Linked DNA regions of Daphnia pulex. The main gene of each other region encodes a partner of the protein of the gene in region 3 in a complex. Links are inferred from orthologs where the notes say so. Each region holds a gene or a part of one and is shown on either strand. Other genes may lie near its edges. The genes, in order: syntaxin-16-like, protein FAM91A1-like and TBC1 domain family member 23-like.

Region 1 (10,292 bases), on a different chromosome or scaffold from region 3:
CTGTACTCAGCAGATGTCTCTAGCCAGAAAGCGGTAAAGGCAGACGCTATTTACGGCGCATGACAGTTCATTCTTCCCCGTTTTTTTGAGGTGCCACGAGCTCTCAGAATTAACTAAAGATCCCTTTTAAGGGAGTTTTGGCAGGCTATCGGATCCATGAAAGAATGTAGGCGGCAGAGTCGCCAAGGGCAATACAGCACACGAGCTACAACCACAGTCTACGTTACTACATTCGGTCGTAAACGTATACACTTCATACTCTTTTTTTCTTTTTTGAAAAGAAAGACTTATCTCGTTAAGGGAGGAGCCTGACGGTCCCGCCTTCACGATCCCCCTGTCTCCACATGTTCTCCCCTCTCGTACGAGTCTCCACCGGCTTCTAACACAGACACACTTGCCCGGTTTTTGGTGTGTTGCTGTTGCACTGTTTCCACTTTAAAACTGTAAAGACATTCGAAAGTTTCAACCAGTGATCCTTCTCTACTCGTGAAAGCAATACATCACAATCAAAATACTCGTGGATAAACCTCGAAAACAAAGGTAAGATAAGACTTTGGTTTACCCTTCCATTTCCTTTCTTCTAAGATGTGCATTTGCGATAGCATTATGTCTGTGGAAGACTTATGCAATGAAATGTATCGATTTTGCTCGACGACTGATGTTGATTCGATCTGCCCCGTTTTGCGGGAAAACTTATTTGAAATTAAATGCAGTCACGTTTACTTAAATAGGAGTCGGCAGGTTACTCTGCAGGTTACTCTTTCAACCTTCTCTTATTTCTAGAATATTCATTTCACACGGGCAATTATTTGTACATGGTTGAATGGGTTCATTTTCGAATCAGCTTCCGAAAATTGTTCTTTAAGCAAATATTGCAATGCCATGTTTTTAGTTTTTCTAATTTATTTTTTAAGTTTCCAGTTATTATTGTATTTTCATTTGATCCTAAGGGAAAACCTCTTTTAATTAATTGGGCAAATATCTGAGTTGAATTTCAATCAGTTAGTCTTCGATTTCCATGCATTTCAAGGAGAAAATTCAAAACTTTTATTTCAACATTCCCTTAATTCTATCCATATGTGACATTGTGTCTAAAAACCTTTTCCTGATTGCAACCGCCCTTTTACCGAGAGGTATCTGCGGGTAATTCCCTCCCTCGAGCGAAAGCTTCACTTGAAGGTCTTGTGTTAATCAAAGTGATGACCATCATATTTTCTGCACAGTTGCGGTGCGAATTAAGCCTTCGCTTTGCTCGACTAATGACGCTAATTCTTATCCTCCCATAATTGCTATCGATGGTTTATTAGAAAACACAATGCATTCTAACGATTTGTTCACCTAGCAACAGGACCATGCGCACCAAATCCATTCGCTGCCCATTAACGGGTTCAAGACGATCGCGCCAAGCAGTTGCGGATACTCGATCTGTCGATATCGAAACGTCAGTCAAGACCATAACCAAAGACGTTGTCGTCGTCGGTAATTTATTTCCAAACGTTTACTGATGTTCTAGCACAATGTGAATTCGTTGAATAAAAGCTGAGATAACCCTTTTCTAGGTAACGGACCTTCAGCTATTACTCTGTCTTATCTCTTGTCCGGCCATTGGCCCTATTATAAGGGCATGGACGAGATGGGGCATCCACCAGACTTTCTTCACTACAGATTGGAATCGAAACCCAACTGCCCGTTGGTTCTTCAAGATCTGAAAGAATTATCAGAAGTAAGAGATGAAGATTATTATTATTATTATTTTGTTTTTGGTTATGTAGTTCTCTGGTAACATTTCTATTTGGAACGCTAGGGACTGGAAGGGCGGTCGAGCAATCCGGTTGCTCTTTTATACGACATTCTGAATCACCCAGATGCAGACACAGGTCAAGATCTACCATCACTTCTTGCATGGAAGAACCATCCCGAGCATGCTCTCGATCACGTGGTTCTTGGCAGAGGTCCCCCGGGGGGATCGTGGCAGGTGCGTTTATCAATTTATCTCACTCCTTCCCTTTCTTAGATTGTAAAATAGCTTAGCAACACGTACGTTTAGATTTGAACCTTCAATTTTTTTCTCAATCTGAAAAATATTTCATCCATCTTGGACTTTAATGGTGCGTAGTTACCGTACGCCGATACGACAATAATCAAAATTATTATTATGTAATGGGCCTTGTTTGTTGTTTACACTTAAAAAATTGTTTACATGGAAACACATATGAGCGTTGGAGGAAATGCAATACTGTTTCGACCTTAGCCTTGATTCTGGTACAAGGACAAACCCTATAATTACTGTAGAAACTCATTTCTCTCGATTTCCTCTCGACTCTAGAAAAGAGAAACTATGGTATTGCCACAGGCATTATTGCATCAAGGCCGATCTTTTTTTAAAAAAACGTGTATGGCCGTTTTTTCATTGTATTTTTCCCCTATTTTTTTGTATAGGCAATGGAGGGAGACGTTTTGACTATCAGCAGAGGAACGTGGATGGAACTGGCTAACTTGAGCTTTCGAGAATGGGAAGAAAGTGTTTGCGATCGGCAACTTGGGAGTCGTCAGAAACGAGCCTCGGTTAAGAACGTGGCTCGATATTATCACGATTACGTTGATATCAAAGGATTGCGCCCCTACTTCCGCGACTCAGCGGAAGTCACTTCGGTTCGTCGTGTAGATCAATTAAAAAATGGCTCAAACGAGAACAATGATCGTGGACTTTGGCAAGTGACGGGTCACATCCGGACAGCTGAAGGACTGGAAGATTTTCAATATTTGACTCCAAACGTGGTATGTTCTGTTATAATCTACTTTATAATTATAAGTACGAGAGTGAAAATATCTGGCTATTGAATTAGCCAATTTCACTATTAGTTTTAGGAATGTTGATAATGATTTTCTATTTGAAATAATAGGTCTTAGCCATTGGTGGTTCTGATCGCCCTAATCGTATGAACGTGGCCGGTGAAAATCTGCCCTTTGTCGTCAAATCCTTACAAGCGATGGAACAACTTATTTCCAGTCAGCAATTGAACAGTCGGAGTGAACCGGTTCTCATTGTTGGGGCTGGCTTGTCTGCAGCGGATGCTATAATTGCCGCACACTTTCATGGAATTCCCATCATTCACGCGTTTCGACGCAAGGCTACCGATCCTAGCCTTATCTTTGGCCAGCTTCCTTCCAACATGTACCCTGAGTACCACAAGGTAATTTTTCTCAATTTCTGATTGAGTTGACATCATTTCATTTTTGATTTGTTTAATTATCAGGTCTATCAGATGATGAAAGACAACGGAATGACTTACTCAGGATACACTCCGATGGAGCAGAGCCAAGTGGTGCGTATTCAAAATGATGGAAAAGTCTGTCTGCAAGGACCAGAGTGCTCCACTCGAATCAAAGTTTCTTACGTCGTGGTATTAATAGGCTCTCGACCTAGTTTAAGTTTCCTTGAAAATAAAGGACGTGATTTAACGGTCGACGTGACCAAACCTATCTCATGTCGTAATAACCCGCTTGATGTCGATCTATTCACGCTCGAATCCACCAAGCAACCTGGGTTGTACGCTATGGGGCCCTTGGTCTCAGATAATTTTGTCCGTTTCGCCCAAGGAGGCGCCTTAGCTATCACGAGAGATATTCATTTGAAATCCTGTCCATTGGAGAGGAAAGAAGAAGTGTCAAATCCGCCCATCCTTCATGTCCCTCAAGAATCCGTCAACTACCTTGATTGCCCGGCGTGACGTTGATCGCCATTTAGTTTTACCGGGGGTATTAAAAGCGTTCCTAATATTGAACTTTTGCGAATCAAAGGCGCTTTTAGTCCCCTCATTTGTATCAGCGGTTATTGATACAATCTATTGTAAATATCACGAAACACGGTTTTCATCTTTGAGAAATAAGTCCGAATCACCACCCTATTACACCTCCACTTCAACGAGTGCTCTGCTAGTCTTCGTTGTGCCTTCTCCTCTCTCTAAACTTCGTTTTCTACTACTCTCATTTTTTAAGAAGCTTTCGTTGAGAAATTTGAATATCTATTGTTGATTTTCTTTATGAATTTACTGCTGATAAGTAGAGCTTATGTCTTAAATGGCATCGTTACGGTGCTATACGTTACGCGTGTCCTTACTGAAAACATTTCCAAAAGGAATTTGATTGTTTCCAGGACTATAGCTTTAGGGGTGCGAAACAAGAGCGGTTTTAACGTTCTGTAATTTGTTTTTGCATGTCAATACTAAGGACGACCAATGTGTTTTTGGCCCTAGTTGGTGACGAGAGGGGTAGCTAATATTGCGACTGTAATTGAAAATGTACACTTCATATTAAAGTTACAACACCTTAGAAAATTCAAGTGTTTTGAACTTGTAAAACATATACTATGCAGCATTTAAACACGTACATTTCCAGCAGTTCAATACACACATGGAAAACTTGAACAGAAATTAGATTTTCTATTTACTCAAGATTTAACAGCAATTAAAATAATGATTAGAAGGATGATGGTGGAAACCAAACCGACAATGCATACCATCTTCCGATTTTTCTTTTGATAATTATCAGCTTTTTGCAGATGAACCAAACCGTCGTGAACTTTAGCTTGTGTATGCTCAATATTGTAGTCTATTCTATCCAAAACGGTACCTTGATCCGCGACCATGTGAGAGATTTCCTGCAGATTTAAGAAAATGAACAAAAATAAGTTACACCATAATGAAATAATGTTGCAATGCTTCAAAGTGTCAAAGAAATTACTTTAAATATCGAATTCAGTTCGTATATCGAACGGACCACATTTTGAATTTCCTTCTCGCGCTGTTCAACGAAAGACGAATTTTCTTCCTGCAACATCAATTGCTGCTGGCTCATCACTCGCGGAGTTTCGGTTTGGCTGCTAGTATTGGTCCAGTCATCATAATTCCAATCCTTGGAGGAAGTTCCACCAAAAAATTGTTGAGAACGTTCCTCGCGTGATTTAATTTCTGTTGGGCAGTGGGCAAATAAGTATATACATGAATTTACATTTTTGTTACGAATTGGTTAATTGATTTTTAAACTATTATCTAGGTGCAACAAAATACAAATCAGAGATTTGAAACTACATTCTTGTGTGATAAAGAAATGAAGATGACTGATGAGTAATGATTACTTATCACTTAGAATAAGTAATATTGACATGATAAAAGTGCTGTGACTGGCTTTGACTGTGACTGGAATGTGCTATACTTTGTAAAAGAAATAAATGAATAAGAACTGAACTGTTCAGATATGCATTCTGGTCACTCCTGAAGGTGTTTGATAGATTTTGTAATGTTGTTACCAAAGATGTGACCACATTTTTGGCAAGATTTGCTTCTGCCTGCCCCAGACTAGGACTAGTACTATTGTACTGAATCCTTTTTATGCAATTGTGGCAGGTGGTAAACATCTTCAGAATAAACAAAGAAGGATTGAAGTTTTAAACAATTTAATTAATTCTAATCTGTAATACTTTGGTTATGTCTTGAGTAAAGGCATCAATCTGCTGCTCTTCATTCATCGAGTCATCAAATGTGGGCTTAAGAAGATGTTTGTTTTGAAGAGAGCTCAACTCTTTTAGTCGAGTTTGAATTTTTGTCAAGGTGTACTGAGCCTCTTCTAAGCTGTCTGTCCATTCTGGAGGAATCCTTACATGAGTGGCATGACTCTTGCCGTGAACATCTATTTCATGACGGACCAAGGAATCCGTGTCTGATATGCTCTAAAAGCAAACCATTACCAATTACCAGTAATTTCAAAAGTCAAAATGAGTCACTCACTTGTTCAGAGTAAAAATTGCGACTTTGAATAGCATTGTTACGCATCAGAATGAAAATTTCAGTGATACTTCGTGTTGCCATTTTCTATGTGAACTTTCAGTCGATATTGGGGTTGAATCATCGATATTAAGATGTACGTGATCTAAATTTTCACAAGAAAAATCTAAATCGTACACATCACAATTGAAAACATTGATTTGGATAATAGATATTGCACTGAAACTTTATTTTTTAAATGCCAGATTTTGATTTTGACAATTTTAAATCGATGGACTCGATCCTTGTACAGCTGATTTTGACATTTCGTGGCACATTTAGTATGAAGAAAAGTTTTGGTGTCATCAGCAGCCACTAGATGGAAGTAAAAGAGCGCGTGTTTTTTTTTTTTTTTTTTTAGTTTCAAACAATTCATTAATATTCACCATAGTATTAACTATTAAGCCATTCCTAGCACATTTCATGAAAATTTTTTATGTGAGAGTAAAGAAGTAGTAATGCTAACGCAAATGCCAGACAGCTATGTAATGGTTAAAGTAATTGCTATGGTATGCCATTGCTTATAGTAAAGTGAACATTACAAAGTTTATTATACCAATACGGCATCACTATTTTTGCATACAGTAGATTACGATGTAGGGTTTAAATGTTTAATCATTATAGACTTAGTGTTAGTGCAATCCGTAATTATAACGCAGACGCAGGTGTAGGCTACAGTGAGCATGTATTGACTCCCGTCGTCCGTGGATGCTTAGGGCTGTCACCAGGTGGCTAAATATTTCAGTGTGTTTAGGGATTTTTTCTCCAAGTAGGAATACAGCCTTTTAAGGTCTGAGCCTCTCAGTCCCACATGCACACGAAGTTGTTGCTGTTGCAGACAGCTGGCAGGTGGTTTTCTTTACTTGCAGGTTTGTTTGCTACCTGTACAGCTTGTAGCTTTCGTCACATGCAGCAACACTTCAGAAGAGTTTAAAATAATAAAGTTGATCTGCTTTTTACGGTAAGGATACTCATTTACTAGTTAACATGTAGTTTTTTTGCTTGAAATCTGTTGACTTAAAGGTTAAAAACATTTTAAAAGTATGCCAATTGTTGATTCCTGTGTAATGTAACAGTAATTCCTAGAGATTACTTAGCTAAACCATGCTTCTGTCATTTTGTTCATGTCACACATGACTTTATTTTCTGATAGCAATTGATTTTTCTCCTAATAGGAATACAGCCTCTTCAGGTCTGAGCCTCTCAGCCCAATGTGCTCATGGGTTTGTTGCAGCCAGCTGGCGAAAGGTGTTCTTCTTGCTGGCTTGATTGATACCTGTACAGTTTGCAGCTCTCTTCACATGCAAAAATACTTCAGAGCAAATAAAATTAATCAAGTTGATCAGCTTTTCTACGGTAAGGCTATATAGTTTTTTTGCTTTGTATCTGTTGACTTCTCAGTTAAAACTGTTCTAAGGATGCTAATTGTAGATTCCTTTGCAACTTAAAAGTAATTCCAAAAAAGTGCCTAGTTGAACCAAGCTGCTGTCATTTTGTTGATGTCACAAATGTAAAGCATACAAATGACGTATTTTCTGATAAGGACTTTTTTTCTCCAAGTAGGATTACAAGTTTACAACCTCTTCTGAGGCTCTGAGCCTCTTGATGGCAGTCCAATGTGCAGAAAGACTTGGGTGCATCTAGCTGGTGAACGGTGGGTTGAGTTGTTCATGCAGATTCGGGTGTTGATATTGTTCGTACATTTAATAATGGACCATTCAGTCGTTCGTTAATGCTGTTGCTTTTCACTAGGTGTGTAAAATTATGTTTACCGGTGGCGAAGTGTCCGTGAGTGAGTGACGAAATTTGCTTTTAAGACAGTGGACTGGAATGTGTTGCTAACGTTGTTTTTTCGCTTTTACATTTAAGAATGATTGAGGTATTCTGACGCCATTCGACCAAGCTGAATCGAAAGTGAACAACTCTAAAGCAAGTAAGTGAATCATGAAGTTTTTTCTTTTCTTTTAGTCAATTTTTTAATCTGCTTGAATTTATTTGGTAAACGTTTATCGAAGATCATGCCTTTCTCCAAGTGGTCGCTGCCATGTCATGAAGATACGTCTTTGAGAGGGTCTCTACACTATTGTAAGACAATATTGTGATACTTGTAAGATAAATCAAGTGGGTTAGCATTGTGTTCTTTATCTTTGACAAGTGGCCTCGATATTTTGTGCTTAATCAGACAGTTTTGTGGAAAGTTCTTTTAATGAGTTGTAAATTTTCTGAGGAAAAAGCAGAAATTGCCGTCATTGTTAATAACTTGATGTGATTGTTGACTTTCTTCTTGATTAGGGTTTAGTTTATTCTAAATTTTAAATAAATCATTTCTGTAACTTATGAGTGGTAGAAAAATTTAATTTATTTAAGCTAAAGTTAAATATCACTTCCATTTTTCTGTTTTGCTTTGTGAAACTTTTAATTGGTATATTTTTCGTATTTCAAAATGTTACTGATTTACTAATGTTGTTTTGCGTTGTAGGATTTCATGGTCATTTTCCAGTTGACAGATGGACTTGAATGGAGTTTGTGCAGACTTGCAGTTCAACATCATACCATTCATACCTCTTTCTTATTTTTCTATGCTTGTTGTGTTCATGCGGTGTTGAAAAGTTGCTGAAAATAGTCCATGTTGCCTGATGGTTGTCGGGCATATTTAATCGACTGCATTTTGTCGATTCCTTCTTTTGCTACCTGTGCGTTGAGGTAATGCTTCTTGTACAGTCTCAGTTTTATTTACTTTTAATGAAATCTCCGTTTTCGTTTAAGTGAGTCGCCGTTCCATAGCTGAAACTGAAGAGACTGCTGAAATTTAAGACTGATAAATTATGTAGATGATCACAATAGTATAGCTGTGCTCCTTCCTTCCCCGTGTTATTAAGTAAACAGTAACCAACCAACACCCCTAGCTGACCATCACCCCCCGGTCATAATGCGATAAGCTCCATGATATGTGGAAAATTTGGAAAATTATGAGGGAAACTTTTTTATGAACACTTTACTTGCTTAATTAACATTCGTTTCAAAATTCTATTTTTACAATTCAACAAGTATTGTCCTAAAATTAATTGCTCCCTGAACAATAGTTACATACTTCTTTTCCATTTCTACAAACTATGTTGTCCTTCAAAACCTGATTCTTAATATCTATATGGCTTATTACTGTAATAATAGGGGCTCTTCGGGATCTGTTTTATTTAGCCGATTTATCTGGCAACGCAGCATGGCGCCAGTCTTTTTTGAGGGAAGAACGGGGAGAAGAGGGAGAATGGGACGAATGGGGGAGAAGAGGAAACGTGGGTCCCCTTTTTTTTCGTACGCCCTCCTCCCTCCCACTCGTCCCATTCTCCCTCTTCTCCCCGTTCTTCCCTCAAAAAAGACTGGCGCCATGCTGCGTTGCCAGATAAATCGGCTAAATAAAACAGATCCCGAAGAGCCCCATAAGCAACATACAAAACTTCCAATATTTATCATCACAATATTATATATATTTTATAATTTATTATAAAATTATTTTTAATTCAAATTTACTAATTTAGTTTATGAATAATTCAACCTCAATGTTAATTTGTTGTTGTTGTTTGTTAATATTAATAATGTTTAATCAAACTTACACACGCTCAAACAGGAAAAAGAGCGAAAAGTTGAGGAACGGTTATTACGAGAGCGATTTTACGGGGCCTCAGAAAAGGAGTCCAACATCAGTTACACATAAGCCCAGATCAATACTTAAAATACATATGTAGACTGCAACGAAAGAAATTCAGTGACATGAAAAGTGAACTTACACATGAAACCACAATACCATACAGTAGCAACAGCTTTATAAAGCACACCTCTCACCATCTCCTCATTAGGCAGCATCTCCATTAACAGCCTGAACATCAATGTCCATCGGAACCTGCAGACGAGAAAAAGAGAGATTTATCACAAGTAAGGCAAAGTACAGAATGATAGGAATGAAGTTAAATGTTAAAATGGTTATAAGTAAAAAGGAAGCAGTTTACAATATTTCGTCAACAATCTGGAATCACTAATAGATGTAGAAGCATGTAGAAGAACTGTTCATTGTAGAAGCATATTATAACTTGGAAATTTTGTCTGTTGTGAATTTGTGATACTAAAAGGTGGTTGCTTTTTGGTGAAGACAAGATATAAATTTGGAGGGGAATTTGGAATAGATTTGACACAACAGACAAATCGAAGAACACATTGAATTGTGAGACCAAGGACAGCAGCAACACTGCAACAGCTTCAAGCAAACCTTTCAGCCTTTCACCATCTCTTCATTAGGCAGCATCTCAATTCACAGCCTGAACATCAATGGCCACCGGAACCTGCAGAGAAAAAGAAAGATTTATCACAAGTAAGGCAAAGTGCAGAATGACAGGAATGCAGTTAAAAGTTTAAAAGGTAATCCGTAAAGGTAGCAGAACAAGATATTTTGTCAACAATCTGGAATCACTACAGATG
Region 2 (10,779 bases), on a different chromosome or scaffold from region 3:
ATGTTTCCCAGAGAAAATCAATCTCCGCGAATGTCTTGATTTTTATTTCCAGGTCCGCTTTCTTTTTTTAGACCATTTCAATTTTACAAAATTTTAATTGAAATTTTTTGTTTTCCATAGTGTTGTTCCATGGAGGTGGATTGCGAAAGCATGTCCGTAATTGCAGCCACATTGGCTAATGGAGGTATCTGTCCTACTACGGGAGATCAAGTTTTGAAACCAGACTCGGTTCGAGACGTCTTATCCCTTATGGTAATTATTTTATCAATTGTTTGTGTTATGATTTGAAATAATAAAATTTGCTGTCTTTTAATTAAAGCACTCTTGTGGAATGTACGACTACTCTGGGCAATTTGCATTCACCGTAAGTCAAATAAATAATTTAAATATTAATTTTATTATTTAGAGAGTATACTTGATCCTAATATTTTTGCAAGGTTGGCCTTCCTGCTAAATCTGGGGTATGTGGTGGGCTCCTGGTTGTGATTCCAAACGTGCTGGGCATTGCTCTCTGGTCACCTCCATTGGATCAGTCTGGAAATTCAGTTAGAGGCATAGAATTTTGTAAAGTAAGTTTCTTTAATAAAACTCATTGAAAAAACAAAATTACTTGTGGATACTAACAGCAGCTTTTTCTCAATTAATTAGGAATTGGTCAGCATGTTCAATTTCCATCGCTACGACAACTTGAAACATGCAGTGAACAAGCAAGATCCTCGCCGACACAAATATGAGACTAAAGGTCTCAATATCGTTAGCTTGTTATTTTCAGCAGCAGCTGGCGACGTTACGGCTATGAGGCGCTATAAACTCTCCGGTGTCGATATGACGCAAACCGACTACGACAATCGTACAGCTTTGCATTTAGCTGCCGCAGAAGGACACTTGGATTGCGTAGATTTCCTTTTGAAATACTGCGCAGTGCCTCCCAGTCCGGCCGACAGGTACTTTGGATATTAAATTTTAATTTAGTAAAAGCGGCAGAAGAAATAAAAAAATCAAATCAAATCTGCTATTTCAGATGGGGACAAACGCCGAAAGATGAAGCAGTACGTTTCAATCACACTGCGGTGGCTGAATTGATTCAATCTTACATCGATAAGAAACCAGTCGCCGAGGAACCAGTAGAAGATACTAAAGCTAAAAGCAAGGATCAAGGAAGCATAGGTTCAATTTTTTAAGGATTCCCTTAGGTATGAGTGCTCTTTATCATGGAAAGGTTTTCGAGTTCAGATAATCTGAACAAAGAAACTACCGCTATCCTTAATAAAAAAAAAAGTAATTGGAATGTAGAATTGTGTGTGCTTCTTTAAGCATAATTTTTCTTCTTCCAGTTCTCAATCAGTTGTTATGTTATCTCGTACATCATTGTGTTCTGTAGTAGCCTCTGTCGTATAGCTATTGACCCGAAATCACCCAAGTACTTGGATTTAAACGGCGAATCAACTCCATGACTGTGTTTCAGTATGAATTTTTAATTCCATTTTTATTATTGTTAATAATCACACCTGTGTGTTTGTGAAATGGGACAAGTATTGACGAATAGTGTGAACTCTTCCGTCGAAGATGTCAATCCGCTCTGCTTCAATACTTTGAATGGTAGGTTGGCAATATCTGTTCACTAAATCACCGTTGTTTGTTTAGCTATTTGCTGTTTCTGTTTTTCCCTTCGACCTTGTTTTAGCAGGAGCACTTGTTAAAATCGATGGCACCAATGGTCAACTGTAGTTTAAAGAGAATAAAAGTAAACTGAGTGCGGTAAATGTACGAAATACTTCATTGTATATTTCTTGACTGGGCAGAAGGATGATTGGTGAAATAATTATTTGCACAATCTTTAGTGTGAGCAATCACATAGCGATAAGTCAATTTTCAACTACACTGGTAAAAAAATTACAATTAGTAGAAATTAATTAGCATGAAATAACCGTTTATTTTGACGAACAATTTCTAAAGATCTCTTGACTCGTGATTCACAATGACGGTTTCAATTGGGGCTAACGAAAAAAAATCTTCTGTAATGTAATATTTAATAAGACTGTAAGATAACCATAAATTGACACCAGAGCCTCAAGGCAATTACACTTAATAAGTTTTGCATATGCAGGGAATGTGTGGATCACATTATATAAGTTGGTTATGTTTTGTTTCAGTTAACAACAATAACATTTTTTTTAAGAATACAGTTATCAGTTGATATTCCCTTCCCATGAATTTAATTTGCCATCATGGAAGAAGAGGTTTTTTGTGGGTAAAACGATATCCGACGCTACTAGTTTCCCTTCGACCGAAATGTCTACGTTGTGCCGAATGAACTCCATTAAACTTTCGGACAGGGCTTTTTGCACTTTCATAAGAGAGTCTAGAGTTTCTCGTTGCCACAATTTTTGGCTGGTAATTCGATCACAAACCTCACTATTTAATTGCGAATCGAATAATGGAATGCCAAAATCAACATTCAAAATGGTCCAGTCAGCTTCGTTCCATTTTTCCAAATGGACTTTGGCACGAAGATTCAACGGTTCACTAACTTCGTCCACCATACTGTCCAACTCCTCGCGCAATATTTCAGCGCACGAAGAATCTGGAGATACGAAGCTTGTTTATCGACAGAGAAAAAAGATTTGTGAATGATTAATTTGTATACCTTTAATGCCATTAATGGGTGAGGACGAAAACGTTGAACTCCTGCTTCTGTGGTCGGATACATCGGTGATATCGGATGGTTTATCCAACCCAAGATTGATCATGGTTATAAAACCACAACTATTCTGCAAATTCAACTCTTGGCGAACCCGTTTAACAGTAGGGTGACTCATCCAAACATCCTCTTGTGTAGATTTCCCTTCCGTTTGGTTTAAAAAAGGGAACGGTATGTGCAATTTTTCCTGTTGACGTTGAGCACCATAACCTTGTATCATGAGAGCCGAATGGGTCAGCGCTTCGTTTAATACCACTAAAGCATTTGAAGCTGGAACCAGTCCAGAATCGTGGCCTGTATGATCCAATAATTTGTGGTTAGGAAAGCGACTTATTCTCTGTTGATAAAGTTTAAAAATTACCCCATGGAGTTAAAAGTATTCGATCAAATCGATGAAAAACGTTCGGCAAACGACGAAGACGTGTGCCTTTGGCTAGTAACAAAGTCGGCGGTCCTTGTTGAGTTAGTTGATACAAAAAGAGTTTAAACCAAGGCGATGTGAATTCGGGAGAAGGTGGACCCCAAAATGGCGGGAGGCCGTCAACAGAGCCAGAACGAACTTCAAGGCTTAGAGGAGCCATTGCAACCAGAAGATGATAGTTCTTGTGCATCAATCGGCTATAGATCTCGGCGTCAAGTGATTGTAAGCTTTCAACACGAATGAGATCCAGGCCCCCGCTCCAAGTACTAGTCCCACTGCTTGTATCATTCTCCAAAACCGGACGGGCCTTCCTCAAAAACTGGACGGTCGAGCGCAGGGTTAACGCGTGCTCAAAGTACCGCTGAGCTTCTCCTTCACTGTCGTCAGTACAGATTCGATCAAGTTCTATCAATAAACTGTCTAGGGATTCATCGGACAGCTTGCCGACTTCAAACATGGTGACAGCATGACTTTTAAGACCCTGTCAAACAAAAAAAGTTGTGATGCCATTTAACCATCTAAAGTATACGAGTTGTAGGCTGTACCGGAGATAAGTTTCCCATCATCAGAAATGCTGTCAGTGTTGAGTCAAACAAAAAAGCGATTCTTTTCTGTTCTGCACCTAGCTCTTTGTCTATCTCATCCGCAGCTGGGCCAACGGGACGATGGACTAAATAAAAATGATAAAAATAATAAAATATAATAAAATATAATAAAATATAATAAAATATAATAAAATATAATAAAAAATAATATTTATTATTATTAATAAATACGAATAAAAAACATAAATAAAATAAAAAGAAGAAATTGTTACCTTCCTTCTCCACCGGTAAAGGTGTGCCGAGTTCAGCTAAAGCGGCAGCGAGCTCGGCCAAGAGAGGATCTTCATCAGATTGTACTGAACTAACAGATGATGTCCGGTTGGGAGATGTGTTAAGAACATTTTTCCATGATGGATGAAGTGTACCGGGTTCCAATTCAGCATTTTTCTTACGAGCAAATCCCAAGCGGCAGTAAAGTGAAACGGCATTTTTCACTTGATCTACGCCAATTTGTAGGACATTGGCCAACTAAAACCGTTTGTCTTAATAAATAGGAAAAATAAATTATTCTTTAGAACAAAGATACAGTACCTCTCCAACACTCGTCTTTTCATCCACGGAGACAAATATTTTATACAGCAAAGTTTCAAAATAGTCCCCAAGTACACGATTCATAACAAAACCCTCCAGTGGTGGGACTGAAATATGATCACTGGCATCAATAGGCACTTCAAGGTACACCAAACCCTTGCTAAATAATTAATAAATTTTTACTCATGAACATTAAACATCATAAGAGCTTGCCCAATTATGTTGCAATAAATAAGAATTACCCATAAAGGTTGTGCAAATCATTGTAATTCAAAGTTCCTGCTTTGCGTGGACCATTGTCAATTATACAATCTATTAAGCACTTGTCGCCTTCAGTTGCAATCTGCGAACACATTTTAAAATCTATAAAGTGTTTCATTGTCAAACTACAAGAAAAGTTTAGACCTTTATATCATCCTCAGTTATGGAACCTGTGTGAACCCTACACAATTAAAAATAAACAATGTTAAAACAGGAATCAAATTAACAAATTAACCTAGAAAACAAAAAAACTTACAACCACCAAGGCTCTATCACCATTTTTTGTACAGGTTTTGTTGGGAGAAATTCTCTGGCATTCCTTTTTCTGAATAACTTCCTCCCAGAACGACTCTGGTTCATCAAATCAATATATTGGTTTCTTCCTATTCCAAGAAGCCTTAGACCTATCAATAAATGACATAAAAAGTATATTGAATCATATGAGTATATTGGATACATTTGAAATGTTTTATGTTTTCTTTACTTACAGTCTGCTGCTGTAAAATTTGGAAGTGCATCATAGCTTCTTTCTTGTAACATAATAGCTTCAACCATAGAAACATAGTACTGAAATGGAGTGACTCTCAGCCCTCTTACCATAACATCAGATAAATGGTATGGGTACAAAACAAGATGCACCCTACTGTATTCAAGCAGTTCCTCATAATATCTCTCTTCATCCTTTCTTACATGGCGCACTGGAAAATGATTCTCATTAAGATTAGTATTTAATAAAATAATACAATTATGTTACCTAAGTTGCCTTTATAACGAAGCTGATTTTTAATGCTATGTGCAACCACACATTTATCATACTCTTTATATGATCCACCTAATAACTGAGACAAAACATGTCACTACCTGTCAAAACACTGTCTCATATTGTTTCATATATTCTTACTTGTTTCACATTTTGAGGAAGCTTTGTCCAGGGACAATTCTTTTGAATGTGAGATTCTACTTCCTGATTCATGGCATTGATTAGAAAACACCTCAGTAACTTAAAAGTTTAATGCGAAACCACAGAAATTGTTGAAGAGGAAGGAATGAATGTTAAACACAAGAAATATCTAGCAGACTATTTTTTCCAATCGAACCGAATTTGCAACTAGCGGTGGCGATTAGTATTTAGTAACTAAAGAACCGTAGGCCTACGTCTTTTATCGAAAATCGAAATAGGTCATTTAACTACCTTTTTTCAATTCCTCATTTATCTGTTGCAATAATAAAGAAAACAAAACACATTTAGATGTAAATTAGGGCGTCCCTATATTATGGCATGCCGTGGGGACAATCTGTTTCCTTAAAATTGGAAGCTTAAATTTTAAAAAATACTTATTTAAATATTAAAGTAAATGCTTAATTACATTCAATTCTCTTATCTTTCTATTAACTTTTAATGTGTTTAAGTCTTAAATTTAAAAATAAAATTTTCAATGTTGAACGCTAAACGGCTAAAGTAGAAGTCTATCGCTGAAATTTGAAGTCTCAAGTATGTGAATTCGGTGTCTACTAGCGCCACCTATCAGTGAAAATACATACTCAAAAGGGCAATAGCTGTATTTAGGTATTGTTCACTATTCTGCGGAATGTCGCGGGAGCACAAATCGAACAAGTCCTTCAAACTTTGATTTCGTTTATCCTCTTGTACTCACGACGATTTCGTATTCTGTTTCAATGCGATAGATGTTTGATCCCCCGCTACCAACAATCCGCCCATAATCGCCACCTTGGATATTGGTGAGTAAAAGTCTGTTGCCAGGGAGAGATTTTTCCTCAATGGGACTGGAAATGACGACGAGTTCTTCTTCAGTCTTTACTGGGCCACTGATGATGGTGCGGGGGGGGTATTTTTTGAATCGTCCGGGGCGGGATTTTTCCCATTGTCCTACATTTTTTGATTGGGTTGTAGATCCACCGTACTGGGCTTTTGGGTTGTTTTCTAGGCATCATTCGGTTTCTGCTGGAATTTGGAAAAGATGTGAATCCAAATTGCATTGCCATTTTCCGAAATTTGGACTTTCCTAATCTCCTGAAAATCGTCTACGACACGCGCATGGACAACGCCCATGGAGGATTCACTCGTGCAGCAACAACCAATTAGAGAGCGCAGTTGGAGAGCGCGTCGTCCAAATTTTGGATCTTATCAACAGGCATGATCTCACGCTAAAGGTTCAAGTTATAATTGAACGACTACATTTCGAATCGAAGGGATTGTAATAATATAAACTACCTCATCTAGAAAATGCTTCGCTAACGCAGGTGTGAAATAAGAAATGCCGGAGAAATGTGACAAGGTTTTATTAATCAAATTGAAAATTCATTTCTCGCCAATGGATGATTATAAAGCGTTAATCAACATTAACCCAACGTTGTTGTTGGGGCTTTCGTCGTTGTTGTTGTGGTGGTTGTTGGGCTGGTGGTGGTAGTTGTTGTCGTGGTTGTTGTTGTCGTCGACTCTTTGACTTCCGGCTGGACGTCGTGGAAGGCGTGGCGGGGCTCGGCTTGGAGGACGGCCGGCTCGACTTGACCCAGGCACTTGACGGCCTGTCCGTCTGCGCCGACAAAGACGGCCTGACAGGTGCAGGATCGACGGAACAAGCAGCTTCCGGGTGGTTGGCGCACGTCTGTCCGGCGCAGGCCTCGTTACGGCTACACGACTTGATCTCGCCCTGCATCGGCGACTGCTGCGGGCAGAGGACCAAGTCCGGGCAGCGGCTGGCGCACTGCTGGTAACTTTGAAAGTTGTTGGCGCTGCCTCCGCATCCGCCGAACGAGAATTTCTCGCACAGCTGAGTCTACGGATTGTAAGCCCAGCGAGGGAAATTCGCCCGGCACATGCCCGGCTCCTTGGGCAATTCACACACGTTCACTATTAAAAATAATAAAACAAAAATTTTTAATGAAACAAAAAAATTTGTGAATTAAGTTAAATGAATAAAGTCAAATGAATTAAAGTCAATTGAATTTTCTACCTGGTTTCTCGCAGTGTTGGCTGCACTCCTGGACGGATTCGAAATTATTTTCGTTGCCTTCGCATCCGCCGGAAATGAATTCCTCCCAGGATCGGGAAGAAACGTTGTAACAGTAGCGGGGGAAAAGGGCCCAACAGTGGCCCGTCTCGGCCGGCTAGCTGCAGCGATCGGTGCACTCAAGCCGCTGGCCCTGTTCGTCGATGAAGGCCACCTTGCAGTCGTCGCAAGGATCGGCCACGCAGATGGCGTCCGGGATGAACGGGCAGCGGACGTGGAGGCACTCGTCCCGGTAGGCGGTTGGCTGGACGCTCGGGTCGGGGCAGATGGGACCCAGGGTCCGTTGCTCCAGGACGGTCCCGTTGGGCGAGCAGCGGACCGATCCGCGGGTGAAGGAGTCGTCGATGGGCTGGCCGGTCGTGTCCACGCACCAGCTGAACTCGCCCTGGCTCTGCTCCCGGGCATAGTCGCCCTTCAGGGTGCAGACGGGCAGAGAGATGGACATCATCAACGGGCCGGAACTGTTTTCTGTTTCGTTAATTTAAAAAAAATTCCATTTAATTGGATTAAATTTAATTCGATTAACTTTAAATAATTTCCAATTAAACGGACCTTCGGGGGAGGTGCAGGTGGAACTGCATCCGTTGGAGCAGCACTTGGCCCGGCCGGAACAGTCCGAGTCAGACGAGCATTCAATGACGGCCTTGGTGTCAGCTGGGCAGCCGAACGGGTTTCTTAATGTGAATCGGGCAGCCAAAATCGGGCAGCCAAAATTTCCGCCCGAGTCAGAGTAGGTCCTTCTACTTTTGATTCAGACATCTGTACATCCAGCGTCCTTTGCAACTTCATCAGCGACGAGATCATCTCTGATTTAGGATTTGTAGGGCCATCCTGTTTGGAGTGCGAGTGACTGCCGTCAAGCTCAATGTAGATGGAATCCTTGTCGTAGATGATACCGCCCACCCCAGACATGGGGGCATAGATCAGCTTCTCCTTTTCGACCAGCGAACGTTTTTTCAATTTATCCGGTAAAGGGCAAGGATCGGGAAGAAAAGAAACATCTTTAAGGCGGAAATCACCACAGCCTGGGATGTGGATGGGGCAGTGATTTCTCAAGTGGACACCACGCACGAAACCGTAAAGGCAGATGTCCCGATTGCATTTGGGATTCTCGTGTAATCGACTGGGAGGTGTCATGTCTTCCAATCGGTCCACCAAGACGTAAGGATGAGTCGATCTCCACAACAGAGGTAGGAATTTCATGACCGAGATAAAGCGGCCGAGGTTCTTGATCTCGTTTGTAGGGTAGGTTCCGTGGAGTTGACCAGAAAGGCAAAACAATTTCGCTCACTGGTAAACTTCTGTTCAAAATCTGTGCTTCAAAACTTTTTTAGTTTTTTTCAGTTGTTTGTTATTCTTGAACATGTCCAGATGAGTCAGAACGCCCATTACTCGGGGGAATCCATGCACCTGGTAATCGTTCGAGATCATAAATTTTGAACACAAGGAGTATGCTTCAGTAAATCTTACCTGACAGATGTTAAGAAATTCAAAAATTTCCATTTCAAAGCCAAACGAAGCATCAGTCAAAAGCAGAACAAGGTCAGCCACTTTCGCGATGTCTATCATTGAGTTGATGTCGTTATTGCATTCCATAAAAGTCACCCTTCGTTTTTTACCTAGATTTTTCAAGAAAAATAATAAGTTTTAGATTCAATATTGTAAAAAATTAACGGATAACGCATTTACGGGCCCCTGTATGGATGTGATATTCTGTCGTGTAAAGTTTTTTATTAGAGCTTGGAGTAGAGTGGTTTTTCCAACTTTGGGTGGGCCAACAATGGCTACCATGATCGGTGGGGGTTCTAATGGAGTCCTGTCTACTAATGGAATATGATGCTTTTTTCATTTACGTGCTCTGAAAAAAAAAGAAAAGAATAAGAAATTGCTAACCAACGTGGGAAATAAATTTTTGTCAGCTATGAAAGACATTTCATGCAAGATTCGATTGATCTGGGCTGAACCAAACCGATTTACCTGTGAAAATGTTTCCGAGCCTTGGCTAATGACTGGATAGCAAAAGCTTTTCTCATCCATTTCTTGGATGTGTGGATCCTTGAATTTTTCTTGTCCGCTTTGCGCCCTAATAATTTTTCAACCATCGTTAAATGCTATAGTCTTCAAATACTGTGTGCTGCAAAATAGTTTACCAGCACGGCGTTCCCGGTGAGCCTTTTTCTTGTCTTCATCAACATGGTCCTCCATTCTTCCTTCCTTTTTCACTTGAAAATACTTTAAAAATCTGTAATAACTTTTACTTCAAGTAATTTTACTGAAAACACGAAGAAGAAAAAGACATGTGGATGAATGACAAACCACGAAAAGCAGACGACTACAATTGTCAAAAAGCTCTATCTAGTGCTGCTTTTGAAAGTGAATTTACAACGCCGTCTGGGATCCAGAGATGACACTATCCAGAAGAAGCGAAAAAGAGGGGAATTCTATGTAAATTTGTTTTTCTTACACAGACTAATATCTGCTAATATTCTCTTGTCTGCAACCCAATAAGAGAAGCTTCGTATTAGAAAAAAAAAATTATAAATTACTCAATATAAAATTAGAATTAAGGTTTTTGATTCCTTTTTTTTTTATAGGTCGTGAGGATTTTTCGCGAAAAAGAGTTTTCAGTTTTGTTCTTGGTTAAAAGTAACATGTTTTGGGTGAGATGAAAAACGCATTAGTCGTCAAACCCAACGCACCTGTCGATGATCGTTCAGAACCATAAACATTTTATACAATAGACGGGCAGCATCCACGCTTCAGTGAATGTTTACATAACATGTGTATGTGTTGAGAAATTTCGATATTCTATATTCTATACGCTGCGTGGCAAAAGTAACAAAGCTTCCTCATAATACACTCGTATTATATAACATTAAAGTCATCTTTCAGTTTTTAATCTTACACATATTTTTCAGAACAAAAAAAAACGTATTTTTAAAAATAAATTAAGAACCAGTGACGTAATATTTTGGGGGGAGCAACTCTTTCTTTAGGCGTGATAATGTGTTCACAGCTCGAAGCACTAAGTAATTTTTCCCTTCTGTTTCTTGGCCAGCAATATCGGCAGGGGGTCTATTGTTGGTGTTGGTCTCCTGTAACGGAATACGCTGCTTTATTTGAAAATTTTGAGTTTGTAAACGATTGTAAACCAAATGAAATTATACTGAAGAAAAGTAAAGACAATGCGCTGCTGATGTAATCTTCGGTAAAGGAGAGCTCGTCAGT
Region 3 (10,861 bases):
TCATTCGTTTCTACCGAACAATTTGTAAGTATAATTAACAATCCATTAAAAGTCTTGACTGCAAAAGTAACAAGATTATTACGTGCACTTTAGAATTTAATAACTGAGCGATTGGATAAAGCGGACGAGCGAATTCAGAGACAAGCAATGCGAATAAGGAACTCCGTGGTTCGATTGAATTTGTTTCTAGGTAGACAGAACCGGACAAACAGCTTGCAAATCCGCAAATTAGTACGTAAGCGCCAATAGACTTTTACCTATACTATTTTCGTGATTCACCAATGCATTGACATTGTTCTAAAGGAGTCGATAGATGAGAAACTAGCGAGAGATTTGCGAGAACTTTTCAACGGCCATCAAAGACAAAATGAGGAAATAGCAGAACTTAGGAGAAGATCAGATCGCCCTGCGGGAAAATCATTGACGCGGATGCCGGCAAACTGTCACGATTTGAAGACTATGGGTCACGCCCTGAGCGGAATTTACCCCGTCAAGGGAGACGATAACATCGATATGGTCTACTGCAACATGACATCAGGTGAAATTCTAATTTCTAACAAGAGGTGGGAAAAAAAACTAACTTTGAAATGTTTCAAATCAAGGGGCCCCTCGAGAAACCTGGATAGGAAAGGCGGACGTGGCGTCATCTTTGGTCTATTTTTACGTCCTAAGGAAATCACCGTTCTACTTGGAAGGAAGAGGAAATGTGCAATCGATCCTACCTTTTGAGATAACTCGATCCAATCAAGGAGGTGGGATGGACGCGAAAAAAGGTGTTTTTACTGTTCCCAAGTCCGGAACGTACGTGTTCCGGTTCTCCTTTGGAGCCATCAAACGTGAAAAGCCCCAGCATGTGTCGGTTACTTTGGTGCTGAATGACGTCGAGGATGTGGCCAGCATCTACGGCAGCGATCACCAGGGCTTTTTCTCGCTTTCCCTTCAATCAATCTTGAACCTGAGAAGAAAAGACAAAATTCATTTAGTACTTCAGTCTGCATCGGGAGGAGGAAATTATGAAGACATTGACATGACTACACACTTTAGCGGCTTCCTACTTGATGAACAGTTGTTTTGAAATTCTCATCCTAAAATGTTAATTTCCAAAGATTAAGTATTTTCTGTTTGTACTACTGTAATTTGTTTAAAACCTGACATGTGGCACGAGTTAATTATTTTGAAAAGACTTTTGTCGCTATCGATGCAATAATTAAAATCAAAATGTTATTTGTTGATCTTATAACGCCCTTGAGACCATTTAGTACACAATTTTCCTTTTTAGAAAAAAATCTATTTGAATTCATTTCCGATTTAAATATCCATTTAGGGGAGCCCCAATTAAGATTTACATTTTGTCTGCGATCAAGTATGTCGCGCTTCTTATCGCCTTCTCAAAATGTAAACAACAAGGATGATTCTGGCCCTAGCCGATGAAATATCACACCCCAAAACAACTCGGAGGTCCTAGATTGTTATCAAATAATAACATAAACATGTTTTTTTTTTTTTCAGTTACAAGAGTCGGTCCAGTGCACAAGCCAACGTTTCATTTAAACCTAGCTTCTAAGGATCTCTTTCGACACTCATGAACATGAAAGATGGCCAAATGTTACCTTGGTTCTGAATGATGTTTTGGCCAGCCAGCACCAGCGACAACGACGGCATTGAGCATCACTTCTCTTGCATGGTAATCCGTCTCGAACCTGAAAAAGACTAAAGCCGGAGTTTATTAAAAGATGAAGCATTTAGGCACTGAGAGAAGGAATCTAGGGTGCACTCACTTTAGCGGTTTCCTTCTAGATGAACAACGAAATCTCCTTTTAACAGCTGAAAGATGTCAGGCAAAACCCTAGTGATTCCTTCTAAATATGCTGCACCCGGTTAGCTCAAAATGTCGTGTATAACAACGGGTTTAAAAGACATCCTAGTACATATATTTCGGTGCAATTTTTTTTTTTAGCTTACGAATATATTTCCTCTGGTTGAATCTTATAGAAGTTTGAATAGAGAAGTTAACGATACAAATTCAGAACGGAAACGAAAAAGTTATCTAGGATGACCACCAAATTATTAGAACATATTTTTGAAATAATAATTAAAAATAGGGCTTACGGTGCTACCTAAATGAGTTTGGTTATCGTTAAACTTTTTACTACTGGTTACACCTGTGGATGGAAGAGGCATTTAGTAAGATTCAAGCAATCAGGTAAGTGATATGCTTCAATACGACGATAAGAGATGGAATATTTTCTTTCAACCCAAACCTAATTATAACTGACTGGAAAAGATTTTCAGATTGAAAAACTGGAATTCATAAGTTTGTTTAAAGGAAAAAAGTCTTGTGTAAATGATTCTTGATATTCATACAAGCATTCCATTGCTTCCATCAGCTATTTGCGTTGGCAGCAGAACTGTTGTTGAATAGTTGCAGCTTGACCAACTTGACAGCATCTCCAGCTTGAGGGACGACGAATCTAGAATCCATAAATATACTTTGATGTTTGTTGCATTGAATCTTTTAAAAAACTCTACCAACCTGTCTAAATCGACAATAATAGTTTCTTCGCCTTTTATGTTCCCATACTTGAAAGTGATAAATTCCGGATGTCGCTTTTTGCTAGTGATTTTCATGATTGAAGATAATGAACGATTTACGCTGATGCGCGCGAAACCTGGACGATCTTCAATTTCTCTTAGGGCATACAAGTGACTTGGCGTAATCAGCAAATAACTTTACAGCAAAACAAACGGATTACACATCAAATTTGCATAAACAGTTTTAAAGAACTAACCTCGGAAATGCATGCCCACTCTCCTTAACTTCATGACAACGGAATGAGTTGATTACGTCTGGTCTCTTAAGCCACGAAGATATGGCTACCAGTTCCTGGTTCGGTGCGTCTGCCTCTCGCTCAGAACTTCCTTCAAAAGTTGGATCATCTATAAAATAACACAATCATGAATTACTCGCTTTATAATTATTTGACATTGTTTCTATACCTCCATCTTGATCATCGTCAATTGAAAATACAGGCGCTATGTTGCGGTAGAGCTTGCCGGCTCCTTTGCTTTTTCCTCCGGTACTAGGATTTTCTAAAATGAAAGAATTGCTTAAACTAGTGAACTTGAAAGCACACAAATTAAATTCCGCACCTTTACTCTTGGACTTTGGTGTCGGTTCATTATCTCCAGCTGAAATAGGATTAACAATGTAGTCGAGGAGTTTGTCTTTAACTACTGCGGACTTTGAGCGCATCCGCCCAAAGAAATCGGTCTTGTTAGATGAAGAAGAGGAAGATCCCGTTGCGTGCTGAGGTGTTCCCTGAGCATTGCTTTTGCCAGCAGCTGTCGGCGACTCTTCAGATTTGTTGACAGTACATACAAGGCACAGTGATGGATTGTGATCGACAAGTCCGACCGGTTCAATAGAAACCGATGTGGCGACAACCCCATTTTCAATCTGAGCTGCAACCAGAGCTTGGTGAACAGCAGAAAAGCCGCCTTGGACTAGGCCAACAAACTGAACGTGTCTTTGAAGGAAAAACGCTACAACCATGTGGACATATTGGTCTTCTGCTTCTCTGCCCGATCCGAAAAACACCAAGTGCTCTCCCCCTGCAGCCGATTGTGCAGCGATGGACTGTTTCTGGGAGGATAGTAACGCTTGGACAGCCACGCTAAATGCTTGAGGTTCAGTTAGCATCTGTTGAAAATGATACATGTGAATGAAAATAAATGCTAAAATTCTATTCTCAATTCTAAATTCTGTCTGATTTAGAATCTTACAAGATTAGAGTCGAGGTGGAAAGCTGTAGGGAGATGGCCAGCGTTATATTGCTCTGCAGGCCGACAATCGACAAGGAAGAAACGTAATGCTCTGCTTTCGGCATCAGATTTTGTAGGAGGATTCAATAAATGACAACTGACTAGCAACTCTTGCACAGATACCGGCAGGCAAAGCGCTTGGGACAAGACCAAAAGATCCATTCTTTCATCTGACGCATCTTCGCCAAAAAGAGCTTGATGGTAGTCCTACGTTTCAAGTGAATATGAATTTTGAATAAAATTTATTATCGTATTTTAACATCAAAAAAATTTAATCTTACCCTCTTGTACGAAAAAGGAGTCTGTGCAGAATACAAAACAGCTAGTGAGCAAAAGTCGTGAATATCACCAGCTTCCATCTGTTGCGGGAGTTCGGCTATAGTTTCCAATATTTTTTCCTTCTCACCTTTGTGAGCCATTATTTCATCCCTGTTTGATCATTTCATGAAGATCTTCATTTTAAAAATTTGAAAAAGGATAATTAGGCCTACTTGGCATTGATGACGAGAACCAACGAAAGAAAAAATATTAAAAATGGATCGCCACGGATAAAGTAGTAGTCCCACAGAGCGAGAACAGCTTGAAGGTTACTTGAAGCTGCAAATAAGGATAGAAACTAGAAAGTTAAACAAGTTGCCAATCATTAGTCAATGCAATTATAAATAAACAATAGTGGATTAATTACCCATTTCTGTGTATACAAATTTGGTGCAATTTTATGTGAATCAAGGAAAGAACATAGTTCTGGTTCGTGATACAGCAAAAGTAATCGAAACAGATGCATAGCTACTCCATTAAAATGGCACTGCCTGTAATAAAAAAAGGATTCTGTTCCTAATTTGAAAACATTAATAATGCTATATATTTAAATGTTTACCTAGGAATATATGAATCCAAGATTGCATTAAAATAGCTGTAGAGTTCATTTTTGGGTAGTTTTAAAGAGACTAAAGGTGTGAGAATGTGCATCCAGCCATTGTTTGGGTCGTAATTGATGTGACGAGTCTTGCAATAATGAGTAACAAGAGACTCGAGATCAGAAAGGATGGAAACTTTGTCTTCTTCTTCGTTGTCCAACTTCTCCACAAAGATTTTACAGTCTTCTCTTAGTTTAGATTGATTAGCTAGGTCAAATATTTCGTTGAATCGTTCAAGTCCATCAGCAGGAGAGCCGGTGGAAGACCCCAACAACCGATACCAAACTTGTCCACGCATGGAATCGGGGATGCTTTTGCTACGACAAATCAGACGCAAATCGTGTAGACTGCACTGCTCTTGTAATGCTCCTTCAAGAGCCAAGATCCTTTATAATACACAGGTAGAGTTATTTTATTAATTGAATTAATAACGCTGCAAAAGAATAATTATTACCAAGAGCCATCGTCTGTGTCTAGGTCGTCAGCCATTGCACAATGTACATTTGCACCTGTCATATTCTCAGATGTTGTGTTTCGTCAGCAGACTATTTTCAATGACCAAGCTGGCAAGCTCCGCCTCCTACGGTCCTTTGCCCGTAGTAGCTGGTAGTAGTAACCAACCAAGCAAGTTGCCGTTTGGTTCAAAAATCGTTATCGCATCTACTAACCCATATCTACCCTCCCCTCCCTTCCTCGTTATCTGTTATACACTTCCTGTCCCAGTTATTAGGACTTGGGATGAAATGGAAATAAGCTGATTAATCTGAACATTTTGTTTTTATTTCTTGAGTTGTGATAATAAACTGAATAGACAACACACACCAATATATAGGTTTGCTCAGTAGAATGCTTTCATTTAATTCCTGTAAAAGAAAATGTGTCGTTTCCTTCTGGACCAACATAATTTCAAATCAACAAATGTGGAAAAGTGCTGTAGTCTTCCTAGTCAAAGAACTTTTTAAGTCAATTTCTACATCTCATTTGTCGCAGATGAAAACCACATCTCGTAAATTTTGCATTGAACACTACGCAGAGCTGTAATAGATAGCCAGGGTATATTGTATAAGAGGATGACACGTAACACAAGGGCAGAACACCACCACACGGTCTACACTAAAAGTGTCCTGACTCCTGACATTGCATTTTTTTCCCCTTTTACTTCTTCAACGAAGGGAATAGGGAGAAATGTGAAGCAAAAACCGTTTACAGCCAACCTTCCAAATCTGTCTCACAAGTTTCGTTCAAGATCTTCCGGGATTAATCGCCAGTGGCGCTGTATGAGAATCGGAAAAAAACAAAAAACAATGTTGAATAGAATTTGGAAAAAGGAAAAAAAAACTGCACTCTCGAAAATATTTCAGCGAGATTTCGACAATGTGCACTAACAGATTGAAGCCTGGCTAAATAAGATTGCATCAACATACAAACAAATAATTTGGGGAAAGGGAAATAAGTTGCTTATGAAGCACTGAGCACCAGGCATTGTATGTAATTGTTGTTGTTGTTGTTGTTGCTGTGTTTTGGTCAACCAGCTGCTGGATTACGTCCGCTATCTGTTAAGCCTTTACTGTTTTTCACTTTAAATCCCTATACCCGCTGTATATATCAACGGCCTTCACGGGCGATGTGAACGTTTCTTGCTACAACACGCGCAAACACTTATACAGCTTATAGGGACAACCAATCCAATAACTAAAGTTCCCATGAAGGTTATGCCAGTCTTAACTGGAGGGGAAAACATTAATAAAGGAAACTTTCGGGATTACAAAAAAAAAATAAAAAATAAAGAAAAAGAAGGTACAACAGGCCCTTTCCGAGTGACAGGAGTAGAAAGAAAAAACAAACAAAACAATAATAATAAAGCTCGGCCGTTATGTTGGAATTGAAATGGAATGTTGGAAAAGCGGCTACGTGTACAGTGGATAACCGTGAATGCCAATCAAAGATTTGAAACCATAGTGAGGAGGGAAGGCGTAGCAGGGATGATAGAAGCTATTATTTTTGTGTTTTTGTTGCTGTTTCGCAGGAGGGGACCTAAGGTACATGAACCACTACAATCTACTTGGGACATTTACACAGATTCAATATTTTTTTTGTTTGTTTGTTTGTTTGTTTGATTTTTTTAGTTTTTTTTTTGTTTTTGTTGCTATCTCTCCTTCCCACTGGCTCTCTGTGCCGTGTGTGCAACAGAATTCGACATCTCACGGGGATGGCCACAATCCGATTTGGGTTTTTCTGGAGTGTGTGTTAGGCAATCGACACTAAAACATCTAATCAAGGTTGAAGGGGTTAGCGTTTGACAATAGACAGCGTAGTTAGGCGCAAGTGGTAAAGGGGATAGTGATCTTCTAGATCTAGAGTTGGGAAATGGGGATATCTTGGCAGGTTTCTCTAAAAAAAAATGTTCCTCTACTTTTATGTATGTTTTAAATGGTTGATGCTGCCTCTACAGTTTGAATGAAAATTCTTCGCGATCTTCTTCTCCTCATCCTGAAAAATGTTGCACGCCAAGTACACATCACCTTGTTCAACTGGTGTTGACGTCGGGAGGCGTCGGGAGGAATTCATCAGCTCTCTTATGATCTGTCAACGCTTTGATCGTATAAGTGTCGTGGGGTAGTTCCGATTTACGTCGAAGTAACGGTTTCTCGCGATTCTTCACTCGTTTAGCCTGCATTTAAAACAAGTTCCATTGAGCATTTAAGTTACATTAAAAACATGTTTTAATTCACTGCCGTTCAACACCATTACATTTACACAATACAACATATTACTGTCACTACAGTACCTCACGAGCTTCGGCTTCGATCTTTTCATAAGAGACGTTGTTTGTGTCTTCATCCTGGTCCTCTCCTGAAGCTGCTTGTCCTGCAGCCGACAGCGCGGCGCTCACAGACTGTGCCAAAGCTCCACCAGAAATGGTTTTGGGCATGAGATTAGCCACTAAGTGGTGCTTAGGATTTTTAATAGCCTCAGCTTCTATTTGGCTCCAAAACTCCTCCCGTTCTTTGAATTTTTCCTTCTCTTTCAACCGCTCAGATCTGTATTGTTGCGTACAATCGTCAAACAGTTTTTGGTTCATCTCCATAAAGAGCTTCAGGGCGTTGTAGATCAGTCCATGAATTGTTCTGAAAGAAATACGTAGGAGAACATGAACTTAAATTTCCACAGACAAGGCAAAAATGAATTCTACTCACTTGTTCCAGTGCGACTTTGAATTTTTATAAAGAGCCGGGAACATGATGGGCAAGATAACTGAAGCGTTGTCACTGATCAAGCTCATAATGTACTCATTGTTCCAATAATATAGAGCACGCTCAGCCACTTGGAAATGCGGGCTGGAAACGCAACGTGACAGCTGCCTAAAGAGTTGTACCATGACCTTCGAAAACTCAGCTGGCTCCATAACATCAAGAATTTCTTCCAGTTCATTTAAGAACATCACCTGGTGATTACACGTAAGTAAGCTCAAAGACAACAAAAGACACTTGCAGAAACGGATCTTACCTCTTTGGGAGAATGAACTTTAGGCCAAAACTTCAAAAGACTGAGGACAACCGGTTCCGTCAGTGATGGATCTTTTTCCAAAAACTGGACGACACAATACGCCAGTTGTGGGTGATAAACGGACAGCGACTTGACCTTGTGCAGCGGCATAAGCACTTTAAGAAGGAAGACCTTGTGCTCCTCCTTTAAAGGAAGCGCGAAGCCATTAATAATGCTACCTAGGATTTCCAACAGCTCTGCCACCCCATTGTGATGCTCCGTTTCATAAATGAATCTGAGCAAAGAAACAGGATAAAAGGTTGTGAAAAGGCAACGCAAATATCGCAAAACAAATTGTGAGTTACTTATAGAATATGTTGTTAATTTGTTTTCGAATGTAGGCTCGGAGACCGAGAAATTTGCCGTATATCCGATGCAATGTAGTTTTAAGAAAGTCCCGTTCACGGGGATCTTCGGAATCAAATAGATCCAATAACTGAATTTATATAAATTTGTAATTTTGTTAATTTCGTGATAAAAACCATCAAGTCTTTTGTCTAAATGTGTCACCTGAAGTACAAACTTCTGGTCAATGCATCTCTTGGCTATATTCGGCTGAAAGTCGGGAGATTCCAAAAACCTTTTTTCACCAAACCAAAAAAATAAACTTTACGACATCTATCAAACTTCAGTGCAGGTGGTGAACGTTACCTCAGGAAAAACTCGTAGACAAGTTGGAGGTGAGGCCATGCAGCTTCCAGGGTCGGTTCATCCTCCTCTGGGTCGAACTCGGCTCCGTTGGGATTGCTCGAAGGCGGCAGGGCACGAAAGAGATTGGTGGCAAACTGAGAACAGAACATTTAATAATGTGTTTCCAAAAGTAATGTATAACCATAAAGTACCATATTCACAGCTTCAGGGTAGATTGCTTCAGTAATAACACCCCTCTGTGAAGTGACGTATTCAACCATCTCTAATAAAGCCCCACGTTTGACCTCCTTCCATTTGAGGTCGCTAAGTGGATCGGCTACAAAGTCAAACAGAACACAGCACTGCTGAATCTTCTGCACAAATAATTCCTCTCTTTCTGCTGGCGCCGCATCTGAAGTATACGAAAATAACTATGTAAAAATCCTTCTTGTAAATTTTAATTAAATTAAAATACCTTTGAGCAATGGCAATTTTTGTATTTCGCGATTTTTGGTAATGTTGAAGCGCGAAGAGCTCTGCCGTCGGTTTTTTACCACAGTTGTACCCGTGAACTTTATTTTATTGATTTGTGCTGGCGGTGGTGGTCCAGTCGCCAATTTGGGTCCAGAAGAGGGCGAACTTCCGGGGCTAGTTCTCCCGCTCTAAACAGCATAATTAACCGGTGATTAATATTAATGTATGCAAATTGATAAAGTGATATTTCAAAGGGCAAATGTAAACACACATTTATAAAAATAAATTATACGAAAAATAGTTTCTGAATTAATTAAAGGAGCTTCAGTTTCACTTTGGTTTAGATGTAACCAAACCATTCTGGTTTGTTAGAATATCTCTTTTGCAAGTAATTTGACTCCCAGACTGGTCAAATGTGAAAATTTTACTCAACATAATGTGGCCTGAATTCTTAAGCTATTCTTTAATAGGCTTTCTACAAAAGACAACCATCTTACCTCTTCTCCATTTTCTGTTGATGAACCTTCTTTGGATGACTTCCCATTGCCAACTTTGGGCTTGCCTGTGTCCTGTAAATATAAATAAAAGGGGAAAATGGGTTAGGTTGAAAAAGTTGACCTTGGTTACGAGGGCTGAACAATTTCTCCACTACCAAGCATAATTTCACTAAAATTCAAAACATGGGCTGCTTTTGTAAACAAGAACACTGAAATCGGGTAATGATAGTTAACCGAACATGTTACAGGTGACATTTCAGCAAAGCTGGCCAGCCACTGACGTGACGCCAATAAACCCTCCCATTTCAGCATTCCATTCCTGAATTTCGGCTTGAAGTTTTTTACTCGAGATTCCCAACCACTGAATATATCTTCCTGAACAGTTTTCGACTTACCTCGGATCCTTTTTCTTTTTTCTTGTTTGGCATATTGGGCACGAAAAAGAACTTCACTTTTCCACCCAAGTTTACATCGACACACTATAGTACCATAAGAAGGACCTGTCAGTGAGTGCCAGTTTGTCAACAAGAAAAACGATGATGTAACCTTACCAATAAATTTATTTGCCAAAAAAACTACAAATAAAAATTAATTGTCTAAAAGAACCCAAAAACTACATAATTAAAAAAAAATTATTTAATTAAAGTTTTTCTTTGGCAACGTCAAAGAAGACAGCCAGGCCCACAATCCACCACAATATTTTTGATTTTTCATCATGTGCACGAAAACACATTTGTTTCAAATATGTCGAAGGGTTGGATTTAGTTCTTCTAATATTGGTTACCGACGTTCAGTGAGCTCCAAAAATGACGACCTTATAACACCTAAAGATAAATGTCTTTCAGGATCTATAGAACTAACCCGTAATATCGGTATTATGGCCCATATTGACGCGGGCAAAACTACCACGACCGAGCGAATGCTTTTCTATGCAGGTGTTATAAGATCTCCCGGTGAAGTTCATAAAGGAGATAC

What was found.
Region 1: the proteins of TBC1 domain family member 23-like (region 3) and syntaxin-16-like are in contact, whole or in part, in a crystal structure (PDB 8QQF), measured with the Homo sapiens proteins. The link is inferred for Daphnia pulex from reciprocal best matches to the Homo sapiens genes TBC1D23 and STX16. Residues at the interface, in NP_001186127.1 of Homo sapiens: Leu638, Asn639, Ser640, Val641, Val642, Lys643, Ile644, Thr645, Ser646, Lys647, Lys648, Ser661, Ser662, Ala663, Ile666, Thr683, Lys687, Ile690, Met691; in NP_001001433.1 of Homo sapiens: Asp209, Asp210, Asn211, Thr212, Leu213, Tyr214, His215, Arg216, Phe218, Thr219, Glu220.
Region 2: the proteins of TBC1 domain family member 23-like (region 3) and protein FAM91A1-like are in contact, whole or in part, in a crystal structure (PDB 8JJ9), measured with the Homo sapiens proteins. The link is inferred for Daphnia pulex from reciprocal best matches to the Homo sapiens genes TBC1D23 and FAM91A1. Residues at the interface, in NP_001186127.1 of Homo sapiens: Arg533, His534, Val535, Ser536, Ser537, Asp539, Val541, Gly542, Lys543, Pro544, Tyr545, Arg546, Val548, Pro550, Val551, Phe552; in NP_659400.3 of Homo sapiens: Arg49, Glu60, Arg61, Tyr64, Asp84, Ile85, Lys88, Gly89, Leu90, Arg91, Ile92, Thr93, Phe95, Ser96, Ile159, Pro161, Tyr176, Ile177, Thr178, Glu179, Asp181, Ile182, Lys190, Asp194, Ile197, Asp198, Tyr216, Asn217, Lys218, Gly219.

What each region holds. Positions count from the first base shown.
Region 1 is NC_060020.1:4,601,262-4,611,553, reverse strand, and holds syntaxin-16-like, read right to left. Parts: upstream 6,119-10,292; 5' UTR 5,868-6,118; coding exon 5,787-5,867; intron 5,729-5,786; coding exon 5,480-5,728; intron 5,417-5,479; coding exon 5,248-5,416; intron 4,971-5,247; coding exon 4,744-4,970; intron 4,661-4,743; coding exon 4,451-4,660; 3' UTR 4,373-4,450; downstream 1-4,372. Other genes in the region: oxidative stress-induced growth inhibitor 1-like, read left to right, coding at 1,353-1,479, 1,560-1,723, 1,805-1,975, 2,440-2,778, 2,904-3,194, 3,258-3,731. UniProt on the Homo sapiens protein: SNARE involved in vesicular transport from the late endosomes to the trans-Golgi network.
Region 2 is NC_060026.1:7,150,382-7,161,160, reverse strand, and holds protein FAM91A1-like, read right to left. Parts: upstream 5,762-10,779; 5' UTR 5,493-5,761; coding exon 5,421-5,492; intron 5,359-5,420; coding exon 5,274-5,358; intron 5,218-5,273; coding exon 5,008-5,217; intron 4,924-5,007; coding exon 4,776-4,923; intron 4,701-4,775; coding exon 4,664-4,700; intron 4,602-4,663; coding exon 4,501-4,601; intron 4,419-4,500; coding exon 4,259-4,418; intron 4,196-4,258; coding exon 3,940-4,195; intron 3,793-3,939; coding exon 3,668-3,792; intron 3,604-3,667; coding exon 3,063-3,603; intron 2,996-3,062; coding exon 2,648-2,995; intron 2,585-2,647; coding exon 2,190-2,584; 3' UTR 1,914-2,189; downstream 1-1,913. Other genes in the region: glutaminase liver isoform, mitochondrial-like, read left to right, coding at 1-52, 121-252, 320-364, 438-569, 649-944, 1,022-1,181. UniProt on the Homo sapiens protein: As component of the WDR11 complex acts together with TBC1D23 to facilitate the golgin-mediated capture of vesicles generated using AP-1.
Region 3 is NC_060019.1:10,734,148-10,745,008, reverse strand, and holds TBC1 domain family member 23-like, read right to left. Parts: upstream 5,396-10,861; 5' UTR 5,256-5,395; coding exon 5,194-5,255; intron 5,126-5,193; coding exon 4,700-5,125; intron 4,632-4,699; coding exon 4,508-4,631; intron 4,439-4,507; coding exon 4,314-4,438; intron 4,252-4,313; coding exon 4,104-4,251; intron 4,030-4,103; coding exon 3,784-4,029; intron 3,701-3,783; coding exon 3,151-3,700; intron 3,091-3,150; coding exon 2,998-3,090; intron 2,938-2,997; coding exon 2,790-2,937; intron 2,729-2,789; coding exon 2,534-2,728; intron 2,472-2,533; coding exon 2,384-2,471; 3' UTR 1,879-2,383; downstream 1-1,878. Other genes in the region: uncharacterized protein LOC124191175, read left to right, coding at 1-24, 94-231, 304-538, 603-1,075; serine/threonine-protein phosphatase 2A 56 kDa regulatory subunit gamma isoform-like, read right to left, coding at 7,267-7,410, 7,528-7,867, 7,937-8,184, 8,247-8,520, 8,591-8,721, 8,796-8,865, 8,937-9,070, 9,128-9,327 and 3 more; ribosome-releasing factor 2, mitochondrial-like, read left to right, coding at 10,602-10,861. UniProt on the Homo sapiens protein: Putative Rab GTPase-activating protein which plays a role in vesicular trafficking. Involved in endosome-to-Golgi trafficking.